Linked DNA regions of Notamacropus eugenii. The protein of the gene in region 2 interacts with the protein of the main gene of each other region in a biochemical or structural test. Links are inferred from orthologs where the notes say so. Each region holds a gene or a part of one and is shown on either strand. Other genes may lie near its edges.

What was found. The genes of interacting proteins can lie anywhere in the genome.
Region 1: the proteins of LOXL1 (region 2) and FBLN5 form a complex in vitro, tested with the Homo sapiens proteins (2 studies listed by BioGRID and IntAct). The link is inferred for Notamacropus eugenii from reciprocal best matches to the Homo sapiens genes LOXL1 and FBLN5.

The regions. Positions count from the first base shown.
Region 1 is NC_092878.1:38,570,868-38,579,127, reverse strand, and holds the start of FBLN5 (fibulin-5), read right to left. Parts: upstream 3,785-8,260; 5' UTR 3,565-3,784; coding exon of another isoform or gene 3,548-3,564; intron 3,265-3,547; 5' UTR 2,998-3,264; coding exon 2,942-2,997; intron 835-2,941; coding exon 780-834; intron 1-779. UniProt on the Homo sapiens protein: Essential for elastic fiber formation, is involved in the assembly of continuous elastin (ELN) polymer and promotes the interaction of microfibrils and ELN. Stabilizes and organizes elastic fibers in the skin, lung and vasculature.
Region 2 is NC_092872.1:242,600,250-242,608,333, forward strand, and holds the start of LOXL1 (lysyl oxidase homolog 1), read right to left. Parts: upstream 3,374-8,084; 5' UTR 2,818-3,373; coding exon 1,575-2,817; intron 1-1,574. UniProt on the Homo sapiens protein: Catalyzes the oxidative deamination of lysine and hydroxylysine residues in collagen and elastin, resulting in the formation of covalent cross-linkages, and the stabilization of collagen and elastin fibers.

The DNA.
Region 1 (8,260 bases), on a different chromosome or scaffold from region 2:
GTTGAATTTATTATATACTTAAAAGAAAAGCAAACTTTACATAATAGACATCTGTAGTTTCATGCACAATCCTTTTCCTATATTATAGTGTATATAGATGTGTGTATGTGTGCATATAATCATTTTGTCTGGTGTTTGGAATAAAAAAATTATTTTCTAATTGACCTGCTTACTCTTTCTTCTCCTTCACCTGTAACCTCATGCATTTGATGCACTTTATGACATCAGAGTCCTTGAAGTATTCTCTATGCCTAGAATTCCCTTCCCATCCACTTCAATTACTATCTACCTAACTCACGTGAACTCTTCCAGGAATTCTTTCCTCATTTGTGAATCTGTAATGACCCCTCTAGCCACCACCACCCGAATACTTCATATGGTATTTTACTTCTACCTTTCTTACAGACAATGTATTTTATTTTTCAATCTACCTGTATTTTGTGTATACTTTTTGTATGTCACAATCTCCCTACTAGAATATACACTCGATATCAGTAAAGACTATGTCTTACCTAAGTTTTGTATGTTCCTTAGTGCCTAGTACAGTGCCCTACATACCCTGGAAACTTAAATGCTTATTGAATTGCTGAATCCATATTTCAATACTTCAAGGATCTATATTTCTACACAGATTTGAATACTCCCTCCACAGATGCATATTATAGCTCCTCAGATTCAGTATTTGGACTTTTTTATCTCTCAAGTGTCTCCTACCTCTAATATTTTATAATTCAAAAAACTTGTGGGAGAGGAGGAAGAAGGTCAAGGTTCATTCTCACCTGTGCATGTCCAGGACTTGTGAGACAAAGAGTCAGAATGGAAACAGTCAGTATCCTAAACAGGGATGAGAAATCAAACATAAATATTTTATATATACAAATGTCTAAGTACTAGATGAATGTGTTATAACACAATACTTTGAGGAGGAAGGTCCAGATCTATGATTTCACTGAAGTTGAAAACTCCTAAAGAAGAAAATTTCTTTTACCAATGCAAATTGATAAATGTTCCATAATATATTATCTTAGCAGTAATTAAGTGACTTGCCCTGGGTTACACAGGTAGTATGTTTCAAAGTGGAGTCTTGAACCAGATTTTCCTCACTCTGCAGTTGGATATCTAGCCCCCTCACCATGAGGCCTCTCATTCAAATAAGATTTTTTTATAATCAAAAATAGCATTTTGTGCTATAGAGGCTAGAGAAACAGGGAGGACTGTCAGATGCAAATTAAGCATTTACCAAGTTTTTACTTTGAATGCAAACAGAGACAGTAATGCTTGAGTTTAGAAAATTTTTTATTATAAATGTGTGTATAGATGATGATCCTTGTGACCTACCTCAAAAGATCAGAACAAATGAGATGATCAATGGGAAATGTTTGAAGTTCCAAAGAGCAAAATGCTAGATGAAGTTGATGCCAGTGTCATTTAATATAAATGTTCATCTAGCCTAGATACACCTATCAGTGTCTTCCATCAACCAGTAGTGGGGACATTAGAAAATACTGCCTAAGTTTAATGTTCTGTGACCTCAAATTTAACTCTTCACAGTTAATAGGGAGGTTGATCAAATATTCAATGAATGTGAATAACTCAGTCAACCAATCAGAAGAAAGGCAAAACTGAACTGTCTAGACTGATGATGTGTTTGTCTAAATTGGATAATTCATTCATTTCTTCTTTTGAAAAACTATTATTCAATCAACAAATTCTCTTTAGATGCAGACCTGACCTCCACATACTTATTCTGTGACCCATATGACTTTGTCTATTTATTCTTTGGGTAAGTTGAAAAAAAATAAAGTAATTTGACCATTATTCAAAGACAGCAAAGTCAGGACTCATAATTCCCAGTTTCTTCATCTAAGCAAGATCACTCTCCCCAAATAAAGAAATACTCTGAAATTCCAATGGTTTCTTAGCTATTTAATATATAAGGCAGCATTAGCCAGGTTTCATATTATTGGAGACTGTTCTAACCTTATAAAGTTCATAGCTACATCCCAGAGCTGTTTTGTTTTGAGTTTTTTTGTTGTGGTGGTAGTGGACTTTTTTTAATTCACAAAAACTAAATTTATATCTTTTTTTTAAAAAGAGCAACAACAAATTTATTTTCCAGCCTGTTTATTATGAATTTCAATGTTTTCCTGTTTCCTCATGAAGTTTCCTTTCAGTTAGTTATTAAACCACTTTTCATTTATATTGGAGGCTGAGTAGTCTGAGTACCTTCAAGAGCTGGTACAAAATCTATTTTAACACCCATTCTTCCGACCTTTGGGCTAGAGATATTCACCAGCTACAGTCTCCCCTCAAACTTCAGAGCAGATCAAGGCACCCAGACAAAGGCTCTCACCCTTGGCAGAGTGACAGGCAAGTTCTGGGAGTCAAAAAAGTTTCAATCAGTAGCAAAAAGTTTTTACAATTACGAAGGAGCCCCAAAATGCCATTAGCAAAACTTCTTGCCTACGAATAACTTCTGTGACACTGAATCTACATTCTGCTCTTCTGGACAACCAAAATCAAAGCAATCAAAAAGAGAATGAGAAAAAAATATATGTCGTCAGATGTATGGCTAGATTACAACTTCTCATTCTCATTCTCACAATCCAGGATACTTTCTAAAAAAGCAGGTGAAGCATCCATTCCATGCCTTTCCCCTAAAGAAAAGGAAAGGGGAGGAGGGACCTATCAAATGGCATTGCTTGCTGTCAGAAGAGATGATCCCAGGCTTGTTTTAGTTCAACACACACACACACACACACACACACACACACACACACACACACACACACACACACACACTGAAATCCATTGATTTAAAGAAATCTACAGGCTTTTACTAGACAAGAATCCCGGAGCTGTCACTCTCTTAGTCATTAATTTTAAGAATCACTTATCTGTCTCTTAATTTTCCCTAATGAACAACATAAAGTTTGCTTACATGTACTTTTGTCTGCAATCCGCACTTCTCATTGGCTTTATACTTCTGGGTCTCATTCCCTTTGCGAATCACACACAGACATACAGTACAATCCGGCACAAGAGTGTAAATGTGTTCAGCCAGGCACGATGCTTTGTCCAGCAGATGACACATACAAAATAGCAATTCTTTTCTGTGAAGATTGCTAGTAAACTTAAGCTTGGTCTCTCAAATCAGTGATTTTTTTTGGGTAAATCAGCTTGGGTAAAAAAAAGCTGCTGCCGGTCTGTGAAAGTGTTTTTTAGATGAAAGCACTGGCGTTGGAGCAGTAGAATTCTGCAGTCCTGGGACAGACAATGTGACTTCTAAAACTATTATACAACACCACTCCTTGTCCCTCCCCTTCCCTTCCTCCCACCCTCCCCCCCCCCCCCAGAAAAGATCTTCAAGATGGAAATTACTGAACAGCACATTTTTATAATTAGCAATCTTGTTGCATCACTAGCAAATCTCTTTTCCAGTGTCCTGACACAGATTGAACCTCAGCCATAGACATTTTCCACACAGCAGGCTATAGAGCAAGTCTTTCCAATCCCTGAAGAAAGAAGTTCCGTACAAAGAACCTACCTCTTTAATCCTGGCATGTCCCAGATGTGTGGAGAAGAAAAAAAGGAGGTGGGTGGAAAAAGAAAGAAAGGGGAAAAAAAAGATCCCAGTGCCTACTACTCAAAGGCGTTTCTTGAACTTCAACCTTCTCTCTGCCCTTTGATTCTTGTTTTAATGATATTCCAGTACAGCAAGTAGTGAAGCGGGCAGAGTAAGGGTCTGAGCCTCCTGAGGCACTGGAGTGAGTACAGAGAAAGCACCTGGTTTTGCTTAGTCCTTCTCAGTAATTCAGCATTAAACCAATTGGAGGAGGAATGTTAAAAATGAACACTTCATTTTCTAAGTATGTTAAACAATGCAAATGGAGCCTCAGTCTGGACACAGCTGGTTCAGATTAGAGAGCTCACCAACTGGCTAGACTCCTCACAACAATCTTGGGGCGTCTGCCAGGACGAAAGTCTCAGAGCTCGAAGGAAAGCCTCTCCTCCTGGATTCTAGCAAGCAAACACACACACTCTGCAGAGAGCATCTTTCTTGGCGAGGACTACTTATCAAGTGCATGGAGGGAGGTGGGAACACGGGGGTACGTTCACCCTTTAGTTTCCTTCCCAGCTACAACATCCCAGAGTTTTGCAGAGGCCTCGGATAGTCAGGGGATGAGAGGGAGTTATGAAGATTTAGCCCTCCAGGTCATTGGCATTTGAAGAAAAGTTTTTAACCTTTTTCGGGAGAATAGAAACTTGTAGAATACAGCTACAAATGACCACTGCGCTTGATTTATTATTAGAAATTAGCACAGATTAAGTGAAGATTTAGAGATAAAAAGATAGAAGGGATGAATATTTGCCAAAAGAAATGCCATAAGGAAGATCATATACCAATGGCTAGTAAAATTAAAAAGACAGGGTTCTAACCCTTCACTTCAACTTTTGAACAGCAAATTTCTAACTTTAATCTTTCTAGCATCCCTTTACAGCTGGTTCATGATTTTGCTTTAAAAAAAGGTCATGGATCATAGTAGATTTAAAGTGGGAAGGAAGAGATTGCCCAGTTGAACCCCTTCTTTTACAGATGAAGAAACTGAGGCCAGAGAAAGTGACTTCCCCAAGGTTACATACATAATCAATGGCAAAAGGGGGATTCAGCCTCCCAAATTCAGTGTTTTCTTCATTATACTACCCTGCTTTTCTTAAATAATAGGAGGATGTGAGAAAAAGAAGCAGGCATGAGATATGAGGATGCTCTCAGTAAGGTAATTCTGCTTTCAAAATACCTTACATTTCAGTCAATGGTCAATAACAGTTATAAAGCACAGTCTGTCTGGCACTATGCTAAGCACTGGAGATACAAAAAAAGGCAAAAAAAAAAAAAAGAGTACCAATCTCAAGAAGCTCACAGACTAATGGGAGAGACAATACACAAACAACTATGTAGGAACAAGATATATGCAGGATGCATTGGAAAGAATCATCAGAGAGAAGGCACTAGAATTATGGGAGACCAGGAAAGGTGGGAGTTCAACTGGGACTTAAAGACAAGCTCACCAGAAGGCAGAAATGAAGAGGGAGAGTATTCCAGGCATTGGACAAAGTCAGTGAAAATAACTGGAATCAAAAGATGGAAGGTCTTGTTTGAGGAAGAGCAAGGAGGTCAGTGTCACGGAGAGTATGCAAAGGTTAGGAAAGCATAGAAATTGAGGGGATGCCCATCAATTGGGGAATGACTGAACAAGTTGTGGTATATGAATGAAATGAATACTACTGCGCTATAACAAATGACGAACAGGAAGACTTCAGAGAGGCCTGGAAGGACTTACATCAACTGATGCTGAGTGAAAGGGGCAGAACCAGGAGATCATTGTACATAGTACCAACCACAGTGTGTGAGGAATTTTTCTGGTAGACTTAGCCCTTCACAGCAATGGAAGGACCTAAAAACTTCCCAATGGACTCTTCAGGCAAAATGCCATCCACATCCAGAGAAAGAACTATGGAATTGGAATGCAGAATGAAGCAGAACATTTTCTCCTGTGTTATGTTTTGTTTTAGTTTGTTTTTTCTCATGATTTCCCCCATTCATTTTAATAACTTTATGCAAAATGACTAATGTGAAAATGTGCTTAATAAGAATATATGTCTAGAAATCATCAGATTGCATGCTGTCCCAGGGAGAGAGGGCAATGGGGGTGTCTTCACATGTTACTTCTTTGGAACTGAGCTTGACCTTTGTAATTTTTAAACATCTGTTTTTGATAGTTCTGTGGCTGTTATTTCCATTTATGTCATTGCAGTTATTGTGTATATTGTTATTTTGGACAGTATATTTTGCTACTTGTTTAATCATGTAAGTCTTTCCATGCTTTCCAGTATTCATTAGTCATCATTTCTTACAGCACAGTAAAATTTCTTTATACTTATGTACCACAATATATGTGCATGTGTGTTGGTAGTCTGTATATCTTTATCAGACAAATTTGATAGAGATCCCTCTGCCCCCCCCCCCAGTTCAACTGCTTATTCTACATGCATTCATCTTGTTCGCGTGGAAGCTTTTAAGTTTCATATATTTATCTTGTATAGTTATTTCTATCAACTGTTGGTTTAAAAATACATCTTCTACCTGTGGAAAACATATATGATCTACTTCTCATTTTTTATGTATGGTTTTTTAATCTTAAGGTAATCTATCCATTTAAAATGCATTGTGGAATGTGATGGAATGGTGTTGGTCTAATTCTATTTTCTGCCAGACAACTTTCTAGTTTTCCCAAAAGTTTTTATCTAATAAGTTCTTTTCTAATTTATGTTTTCTAGTTCATTGAACATCGGGTCATTGAGTTCTATTTCTTTTCATCTTTCCTTGCCTAGTCCATCCACTGATCTACTTCCTTATTTTTTTTAAACCATTACCAACTGGTTTTGATAACTGACAGGCTATAATAGAGTTTGCACTCCCCTATTCATCCCTACCTTTTTTCCTCATTATTTTCCTTTATAGTCTAGATATTTTGTTTCTCCAAATGAACTGAGATAATTTTATCAAGCTCTGTAAAATATCCTTTTGATAGTTTGATTGGTATAGTATTAAAACTATAATTTTCTTAAAATTTGATTTATTTTTAATTTGTAAACCTAAGATAAGCATTTCCATAATTTAGCAGAATAAAAAAATCACTTGAAAATACAAATCTTTTATGTATAACCTGTTATTTCTTTTAAATATATAATAAAGTAATCAAGTTTCTTTTTTTCTCTCTGAAAATTATAACTTTTAACTGTCATTTTTATTATATTGGCACAGTCCAACCATGATCATTGAATAGTTTTCCAAATATTTAGGTTCTTCTTTATTTCCATAACGGATATTTTGCAATTGAGTACAAACAGGTATTTTGTATACTTTGATAGATTGAGCTCCAGGTATTTTGTGCTTTTGTAGTTATTTTGAACGGTATTTACCTTTCATTTTGATGTTATAATATAGAAATGTTATTTTTGGGTTGTTATATAGAAATACTGTTATTTTTGCAGCTAGAAACTTTGAAACTATTGTTTCAATTGAAATCTTTGCTGTTCACCTAGAATTTTCTAAATAAACCATAGTGTCGTTAGCAAATTGGAATCATTTTATAACTCTTTTTTTGCCTATCTTTTCTCCTTTAACTTCTTTCTCTTGATTTATTGCTGTTGCTGTCATTTCCAGAACTATGTCAAATAACAGCAGAAAAACTGAGCATGCTTGCTTTATTCCTGTATTTCTTGTAGAAGTTTCTAGTGGATCCGATCTTTTTAGATTTCACATACATTTCCTGATATTAACAAAAAATCCCACTATGCCTATATTTCATAGGATTTGTAGCATGAAATGAATATTGTACTTTGTCAAAGGCAAAGTATTGAGATAATTAATTATAATTATGTGACTGTAATTATAATTACAATAATCTCTGTTACTTGAGATAATCGTGTGGTTTTGGATGTTTTTATACTTTGTATGATTATGGTGATGTATGTTTTGTTTGACAGGACTTGAAATGTCTTTAATTAATATTCAGTAGTGACATCAGTTCATGGTTCTTATTTGCTTTATCTTTCCCTCATTTAGGAATCAAGGCCATATTCATCCCAAAAAGAGTCTGATAAAACAATTTCTCAATTTTTGAGAATACTTTGTATGGTATTAAATTAATTAAGTTAATTTATGATATTAAAACTAGTTGTTCTTTAGAAGTTTGAATTATCCTGTGAATCTACTAGGACTATTCTCCTTTGGTAGGCCCTTTATTACTCATTTTATTTCTCTTTTCTCAGATTGGATTATAGAAGATCTCTAGTTGGTTACTTAGGTATTTTATATTTCTAAAAGTATTCCTCTATTTCTTTTGTGTTTTCAGTTTTGGTAGCATATAACTGTTCATAGTAGGTTCTAAGAATTCTTTTTATTTCCTCTAGTTTTGTTGTGGTATCACCTTATTCATTTGCTATTTTGTTGATTTGATTTTCTGCCCTTTTTTATAACAGGTCTGCTAAAGCTTACTAATTTTGTTAGCTTTTAAGAACTAGGTTTTAGTCTTATCATTTCTAATGTCTTTTTCTATTTCCAGTTTAGTTCTCCACTACTTTTCCATATTTCTTATTTTAATTTTTTTGGGGGGAGAGTTATTTATTGGCTAATTTTTTAATATGTGTATTTAGTTTGTTTTTCATTTTGTTAATGTATGTTTTTAGAGATAAA
Region 2 (8,084 bases):
CCTCAAAAGGAGTTAAATGGAAGGCAATGAAAGGTAGACCAACAGACTTTAAACCTTTAGGGGCTTGTATAACTGACTAGCTACTCATCTTGTCCCCAGTCTTCCTAGGGTACAAACAGAACTTGTATCTCTTCTTGGAATCCCCAAATCTCTTCCAGACTCTAATCAGGAACCACTTCTTACATGAGCCCCTTTCTGATCTACCTTTTGTTAGTGCTTGCCACTGCCAACATCATACTATCTGCATTTTGTATTTTCTTATCTGTGTATGTGTTAAATCCACTTAGCCCCCAACATATAACGTCAGCTCCTTGAGAGCAACTGATATATATTTTTTTGTATTTGTACCCCCAATGTCTAGTATAGCACCTTGTACAAGGAGTCATTAGCACTAGAAGGGATTGTACCACTCCTTCTTACAGATGAGGAAACTGAGCTTCAGGGAACTACGATAGGAGTCTAATAAATGCTTGCTGCAATAGTTATGTTTCCTGAAAGGTGAGGTCATATTTTTTTTAAAAGCTTCCCCCATCTCTCTATGTGTGTGTGGAGGGGAGGGGTGACAAGATGGCCTTGTATCTTTCCTTGCCTGTACTATCAAGCTTTATTCTGGGTGGGGGGATAGAGGTGAGCCCTTATAATATTTTCATAGCTATAGAGGTAGAAGGGACCTCAGAAGCCATCTGGTCCAACCCCCTCATTTTGCAGATAAAGGATAAGGACATTAAATGACAAATCCCAGGTCACACACCAGTAAGCTTCAGACACAGACTTAGAACCCAGGTCCTCTGATTCCAGAAGCAACGTTCATTTCCTTCCCCTCTCCTTTCCATGGGCTTACATTTGAGCAAAGAAGAGGTCAAGTAGAGGAGCAAAGAGACATAAGGATACCATGGATTAAAAATTACCAGAAGGGAGGGATTTTGGGGGGGAGGGGAGAGATGTACCAAAGTGGAGAGTGGAATCTGAGAAGAATCAAGCAGAACAGAGTGAGAATTAGTGATTATGTGAGACTTTTCCTGATCCCCCTAGCTTCTGTCTTCTTCCTCAAAATTAATCTCTCTCTCTCCTTATATATATGTATATATATACATATATATAACATATATACACTATATATTTAAAGAATACATGCAAATATATGCTTGTGTGTGTTGCATATCTACTTATTGTTTCCCAGGTGGAATGAAAGGTTCTTGAGGGTAGGAATTGTTTTAGGTTTGTCTCCCCAGCTTTTAACAGTGTCTGGCACACAATGCTTCATAAATGCTTGTTGATTGGTTAGGATTGGCAGATAATAGCTTTCATTTAGATAGCACTTTATATGGGCTTTATCTAGTTTGATACTTAAGAAGTAGATAAGGCAAGTGATATCCCCATTTTACAGATGAAGAAACTGAGGTGTATTGACTTGCCCAAGTATCTCTGTCTACTAAATAGTAACAACCACAATTTGGACCCAGCTGTTCTGCCTTCAGCACAGGTGTTCTTGGCAATATTATACACATCATTAAAAGGAACTCCCAGCCCATTCCTTTAAAGTGTGGTCCCTCCAGGAGGTGCTCAGTACTCACCTCGTCCATTCTGGTTGGGCCTATACACACTGCCCACGCTGACCCGGCCTTGTTGGGTGCCCTGTCTGTCCCCACCTAATGGGGGAGCTTCCGAGCTCCTGATGGGCATATAGGATTCTGGCCTCGGGGCACTCCCATAGGGTTCCAGGACCCGGAATGGTGGCTGAGGCTCCACTACTCTCGGTGGGATGTAAGTTTCCGGGGGGACATTGGCATAGGGTGATTGCCAGCCCAGGCGGGGATCAGTCACATAGCCTGGTCCCAAGCCTGGGGAGGAGCCCCCGTTAACCTGCGGGCTGTCAGGAGCAGCTGCCACTTGGCCTGGCACCACCTGGCCAGGGACTGAGTTGTAAGTGTCTTGGTAAGCTTGATCAAAGTTCGTGGTCCCCTCATGATACAGACTGTGGGAATACCTCCTGTCCAGCCCGTCAGAAGGCTGAGGTTGGGGCTGGGGCACTGGCATGAGGGGCATCTCCTGGGCTGGATAGAAGCCCTGAGGCTGATACGGGGTCTGCTCCTCCCCGTACTCTTCATACCTCAGCCGAGGCTGGAAGGGGTAGATGACTCCAGCCGAGGCCACTGCAGCTGCCCCGGCTCCCTGCCCGCCTGTGGGGCTCCGGTAATACACGTAGCTCTCTTCATAGGCCCTAGGTACTTGCTCGTACGTTTCGTACTGACTGACAAAAGGGGGCTGGGGGTAGGGGAACTGCGCGGGATAAGATGGCTGCCGGTAGGTGGTCTGGGCGAAGGCGGAGGCTGAGGCTGAGCCCAAGGCTGATGAGACGGAGGAGGAGGCGGAGCTCGCCTGGCGTTGCCGGGAGACGGAGGTGCGGGCTCTGGCCATCCCGGTGCTGTCCCCGACGGCCACCTCCCGCCAGTTTTCTGGCACCTGGCCGAAGCCGAAAGGGTGCCGGGCCTGGCCTCGGATGGTGTCCGAGCCAGCCCTTACGGGCAGTGAGGGGGCCTGCCTGCGGATGGGGCGTCCCGGGCTCCTTCGGCCGGTCGTCTGTTGGGCTCCGGCCAGAAGTACCTGGGCGCTGCCGTCGTGGACCACTGTGCCAGGAGGCAGGTACTCGGAGCCCGAGTTCAGGAGGCTATACACCCGTCCGTTGTTCTCCCACTGGATCATCTGCCTCCAGGGGCTGGCGTCGGAACTCTGCTGCTGAGGAGGCTGCTGTCCGCGGGTCAGGAGGAAGACCCCGCAGCCTAGGAGCGCCCAGAGCTCCCAGGAGACGCGGGCCATGATCTCTGCGCCGTCTCGTCTCCTGCCTCCGGGGGGACTGGACTAGCAGCGTGGGTCACACACAGCAGAGACGCCGCTTCTCCCGAGTCCCCCACCTCCCGATGAGTCTGTCCCTCCCTTCCCCAAAGCGTTGTGGGCAGCTCTTTTCCTCCCTGAGGTTCTAGCGCTGTCCATCCCCGGCCAGTCCCGAGCGGGAGGGTTGCCTGGACAGCAGCATGGTGAGGCCAGGCGAGGCTAGGCGAGGAGCGGAGAAGCAGCGGCGGGTGGCCCGAAGCGAGGCTGGCCAAGCCCAGGGGCTCCGTCTGGGGCAGGGCAGGGTACGGTGTGGAGCAGGGCTGGAGTTGGAGTCACTCCCTGCAGGTCTGGCCCCAAGGACAGGACCACCACCGGGAGGGGCTTTACATGGCTCCCGTGCGGGATGGGGGTGGGGGGGGACTGGCCGACTCCCTCCTCCGTCCTTTCCTTTCTCCCGCCCTCCCTTACTCCCTCTCTCTTTGGGTCTGGGGCCAGCCGGGCTGGCTCTTTCCCACTCTGAATGAATAAGCAACAAGCTGTGAAAAGTTTGGAAGTTTCAGAGCAGCCTGCTCGGTTTCGGGGCTCCACCGCTGGGCCCTATTGCCCGTCGGGTTTTAGCTATGCGGCCAGCCCCCGAGGCGCCTGGCCCTTGCTCTCAGCTCTGCAAGCCAAGCTGGGGGGCTGCCTTGCTCTTTGATGAAGAAAGGAAGCAGTCCCAGTGAAAACTGAGGACAATGGAGGGAACCTGGGAATGAGAGGAAAGGAGCGAATCTCTTGTTCAGAGCAGTCCCTGACAAGCGGATTCTCTGGGGCCAGATGGGCTGCCTTGGCCCCTGGCTTGTTTTCCGTCCTGAGAGGCATCATTTTCACCCACTCTTCTGTCGCTAGAGGGGACCTTACCCTGTTCCCTGTAGTTAAAAGAACCTTGGCTTTAAAAGACAGAACCTATCCCAGGATCAGGCTTGGAAAGGACCTTTGGGGTCATGTAGTCCAAGTTCTTCTTTGCAGGGAGGAGGAAAATGAGTCCGAGAGAGGGGGTTTTGCTCGCTGAGGGTTGCACACAAGTAACAAACGGAAGGGTTGAATGAAAAAGCAATTATGAAGCATTCACTATGTCCCAAGCACTGGGTTTCGTTGAGATTTGAGCTTAGGTCTCCTGACTCCAATTCGCTAGCTGTGTTTTTTTTTAGGACTTTGCATGTCGGAGCTGTGGGATCTTGAGTAGTGTGGTATGTTGAAAAGATCACCAAGTTTCAGGTAAGAGGACCTGGACTGGAAGACCTGTTTTGTTTCTTACTAGCTGTGTGACTTTGGGAAAGTCGTCTCCCTTTCTGTATGGAGTTTCCTTCTTTGTAAAATGAAGGGATTGGACTGGATGGATGATCTTAGGCTTCCTTACAATTCTGCATACTATAACCCCTAAGATCATGAGGTGCTCTTCATCATTTAGGCTAGGTCCTAGCATCCCTGATTCCTGACTCTCATTTCCCACCATTTCTGTCCCCACCCAATGATTTCAGCAACAAACAAGCAATCATCTATTCCAAGCTGGAGGGGACGTAAGAGGTCACCTAGCCCAGCCCCTCATTTTGCAAAAAGAAAACCTCAGCTCAGAAAAGTTTAGTGCTCACACAGCTGGAAAATGTCAGAAGTGGAATATGATCTCACCTTTTCTGGACTTGAAGCCAAACATTCTATTCCTTGATGCTCTAGGCAGTACCTCCAGTATCTTTTCTTTGTTCCTTCCTTCCCTTTCCGTCTCTTCTCTGCTCCCTCACTCTCTCCTTTTTGCCTTCCTTCTTTCTTTCTTTCAAAGATGATATAATCCAAAACTTTCCTTTTACAGAGAAAGAAACTGAGGCTCAGACAATTTTCAAGGTCCAAGCTCACTCATTAAATGCATAGCAGAACTGGGAGTCCACATCTCCTGATTATCACTGCCTCCTCTTTGCTGTGATGACCTTTGCCCCGGATACCCAGAGATCTGGTCTATAGAAGCACATCAGCAGTGGAGTGGCCTGGTACCTTTCCTAGAGAAGAGCACTGGGTGGATTTCTTTTTTATGTCTGCCCCAGGGGGCTGAAGGGAGATCTGTACCTTGCCCAGAATATGTTCCCTTTTAGATCCAGAAATAATCTCCAGATCTCATCTTGGTCATTTCACTTCCAGTCTTTCATTCTGGGCAGTGGGAGGGTGAAAGGAAAAGTGTGGTATTCTAGGTGGTGGGAAAGGGGCAGGGTTCAGTCCAGGAGCATGTTCATTATTGGACCAGGAGTCAGGAGACTGAAGTGCTAGACAGGATCCTGACCCTAATTTGCCATGTGGTCATGAATAAGTCTCTCTCTCTGTTTCTCTCTCTCTTCCCATCTCTGTCTCTCTCTTTTCTTCTCTGTCTCTGCCTCTGTTTCATTTCGCTCTTCTTCAAAGTTAGAACATTGGATTAGGGTCTCTAAGGTCCCCTCCAGCCCAGATAATCTGGGATTCTGTGAATTTTCTCTCCACTCTATCCTCTAGATGAGGAATTAGTGTAAAGCATAGGAAACAGCTAGCACAGTGGATGAACCACTAGCCTCAAATCAGAAGACCTGAGTTCAAATCCAGTCTTAGACACTTACTAGTTGTGTGACCTTGGGCAAGTCACTTAACACTGTTTGCCTCAGTTTTCTCATCTGTAAAATGAACTGGAGAAGGAAATGGCTTTGCCAAGAAAATCCCAAAGTGAGATCACAGAGGATTGGACAGGACTGAACAACAATAGGGAAATAGAAGGAGGAGGAAGGGAAATTAACTAGACACCTGGATTTTTCAGGATCTGGATTGTTATCCCCTTAAGAATCAAAAATTTAGACTCTAAAAGAGAGGCAGAATGGCCTACTGGATAGAATGATGGACATGGAGTCAAGAAAACCTGGGTTCAAATTTCACCTTTGATACTTATTAGCCGTCTAACCACAGGGCAAGTCACCCAATCTCTCTGAGCCTCAGACAATTCTCTAAGACTAAATACTGGAAAGAAAGGATGGTAAAGAACACTGTTCAGTAGTCAGATATCCTGGATTCAGACTTTGCTGCTTGTCATTTATTTTCTATATGACCTTAGACAAGTTACTCTCTGGACTTCAGATCTTCATCTGTAAAAAGAGGGGGGTGGACTTTGGGACCTTTGAAGTCCTTTCCAGCTCTAAGCATATGATCCTCTGAAATTATAAAGAGGTTGCCACCTGCCTTGTCAGAGGGACAAAACCCTTTTGTCATGAATTTCTGTAAGGTCTCAGGAAGACTCTTGACATGACCTAGGTAACTTCTGAAATTGTCTAAACCTGGATTCCACAAAATATGGGATGCTCTTCAGGCAACAACTTTGAGGTACAAAAGTACATTGTGGACCTGAAATGTGTCCTGGAAACCTTGAAGCAGGGTCAGTCCTGAAAACTGGAGGAAGAAGGCTTCCTTAGGGCTCTTGTCCAGCCGACTGTTTTCCTAAACTACCTGGCTCTGACACCAGGGGTGAATTTGATCTCTGGTTCAGTCAAGGGAACCAGAGATGCCAGCCCATTAGGCCAAGTTTCCAGGGGGTGGTAGGCCCCTGTCACTCCTTCCTCTGCCTCGGAGATGAGTCCAAAGTTCAGGCTGTCCCTAGGATGCCTAGAACCATGCCCCACTCTCCTTGAGGAAGAGAAATGAGGTCAGTTCTTCATGCCAGCCCTAGAGCTCAAACTCACTCCAGGAGAGTGCTTGATTTTCCTGCCCAGGGTCCAGGAGGGACACAGCTAGAGATCCTCAGCTCCCTTCCTCACCTTCCATCCCCTTCCACCCTCCCAGGGCTAAGTTAAGGGTAGTACAGTCAATATTAAGGGAGATTCTTTTAATGCTAGCTCCTTGGCTTCGTGTCTGATACCCAGACTTCTCTGATGGCTCATCAGCTGCTACCATAGTCATTGAGACATTGCCTTAAGGCAGTCAGAGTGGGCAGGCCTTGGGATAATCCAAGATCCAAGAGTTATTTTTACAATCCCATGGTTCCAGCCCACTGTTCTCATTGGGTTTCATTCTCACTTTGGACATACATAGCGTGAAATGTCTGCATGGATGTTTTATTTTTTCTTTCCTTGAGTTTCTAATTGGAAGAGGGGAGATGGAAAGAGATGACAAACTATTCTCATTCCATTGGCCATTAGCGAACTTCTTTTGGTGCCAAAGAACAAAAGAAGATGGCCACATCCTCTCTGTCTCTGTCTCTGTCTCTGTCTCTGTCTCTGTCTCTGTCTCTGTCTCTGTCTCTGTCTCTCTCTCTCTCTCTCTCTCTCTCTCTCTCTCCTCTTTCCCTCTCCCTCTCCCTCTCTCTTCTCTCTCCTCTCTCCTTTCTCTCTCTGTCTCTCTCTGTCTCTGTCTCTGTCTCTCTCTCTCTCTTTCCTCCCCACACCCCATCACCCCATTCCTCCTCCTCACATGAGACTTCTGAACAGGGGGAAGAGAGGATTTATAGCCTAGGGCACAGAGGAATTGAGGATTGACTATTTGAAGATTACTGAGGTTTATTTATTTCTTTAGTTGGGATTGTGAGTTAAACTTTTATTTTTCCTTTGAGGACCTGACATTGCTAAACACAACACCTCCAGGGCAGAACCTTAAATGCCTTACAAGGAGGAGTCTGTTTTGGTTCTTTAGAGCCATATTGTTTATACACTGGAGGGGGAAAAGAGGAGAAGGAGGAAGAGGAGGGACTGAGAGGAAGGACTGGAAACAGGAAATGAAGGGAAAGAAGAAAATAAAAGAGGTCCCTATCTGTATCTGTTTCAGGGAAGGGGAGAGTGGATGTTGGTGGTGACTAGATGTCTCGAGAGTGATTACTCAGTGATACACTTGTCAGTGTGGGGATCTTGGACCTGAGAGCAGTGGAAGACAAAATCCCCCTTTGGGCATTAAGGCAGATGGAAACCCAGGACTTGGGGATCTGTGATGGGAAATGGCCACAGAGGGGCGCTGGCCGGCATCCTACATCTGGCTGAAGAGTCAGTACAGTATTTAATATGAAATAACCACAGTGCTGTCCTCCTTCCCTCCTGAAGGGATTTTAAATTTTTTAAAAGAAGTCTGCATAAATGTGAATCATAAAAGTTGAGTTTTTTACATTCTACACCTGGAGATAGATATAGTGTTGGACCTGGAGTCAGAAGTGCCAAGTTCAGATCTAGCCTCAGACTATTTTTATGACCCTGAGCAAGTCACTTAATCTTTGCCTGCCCCAGTTT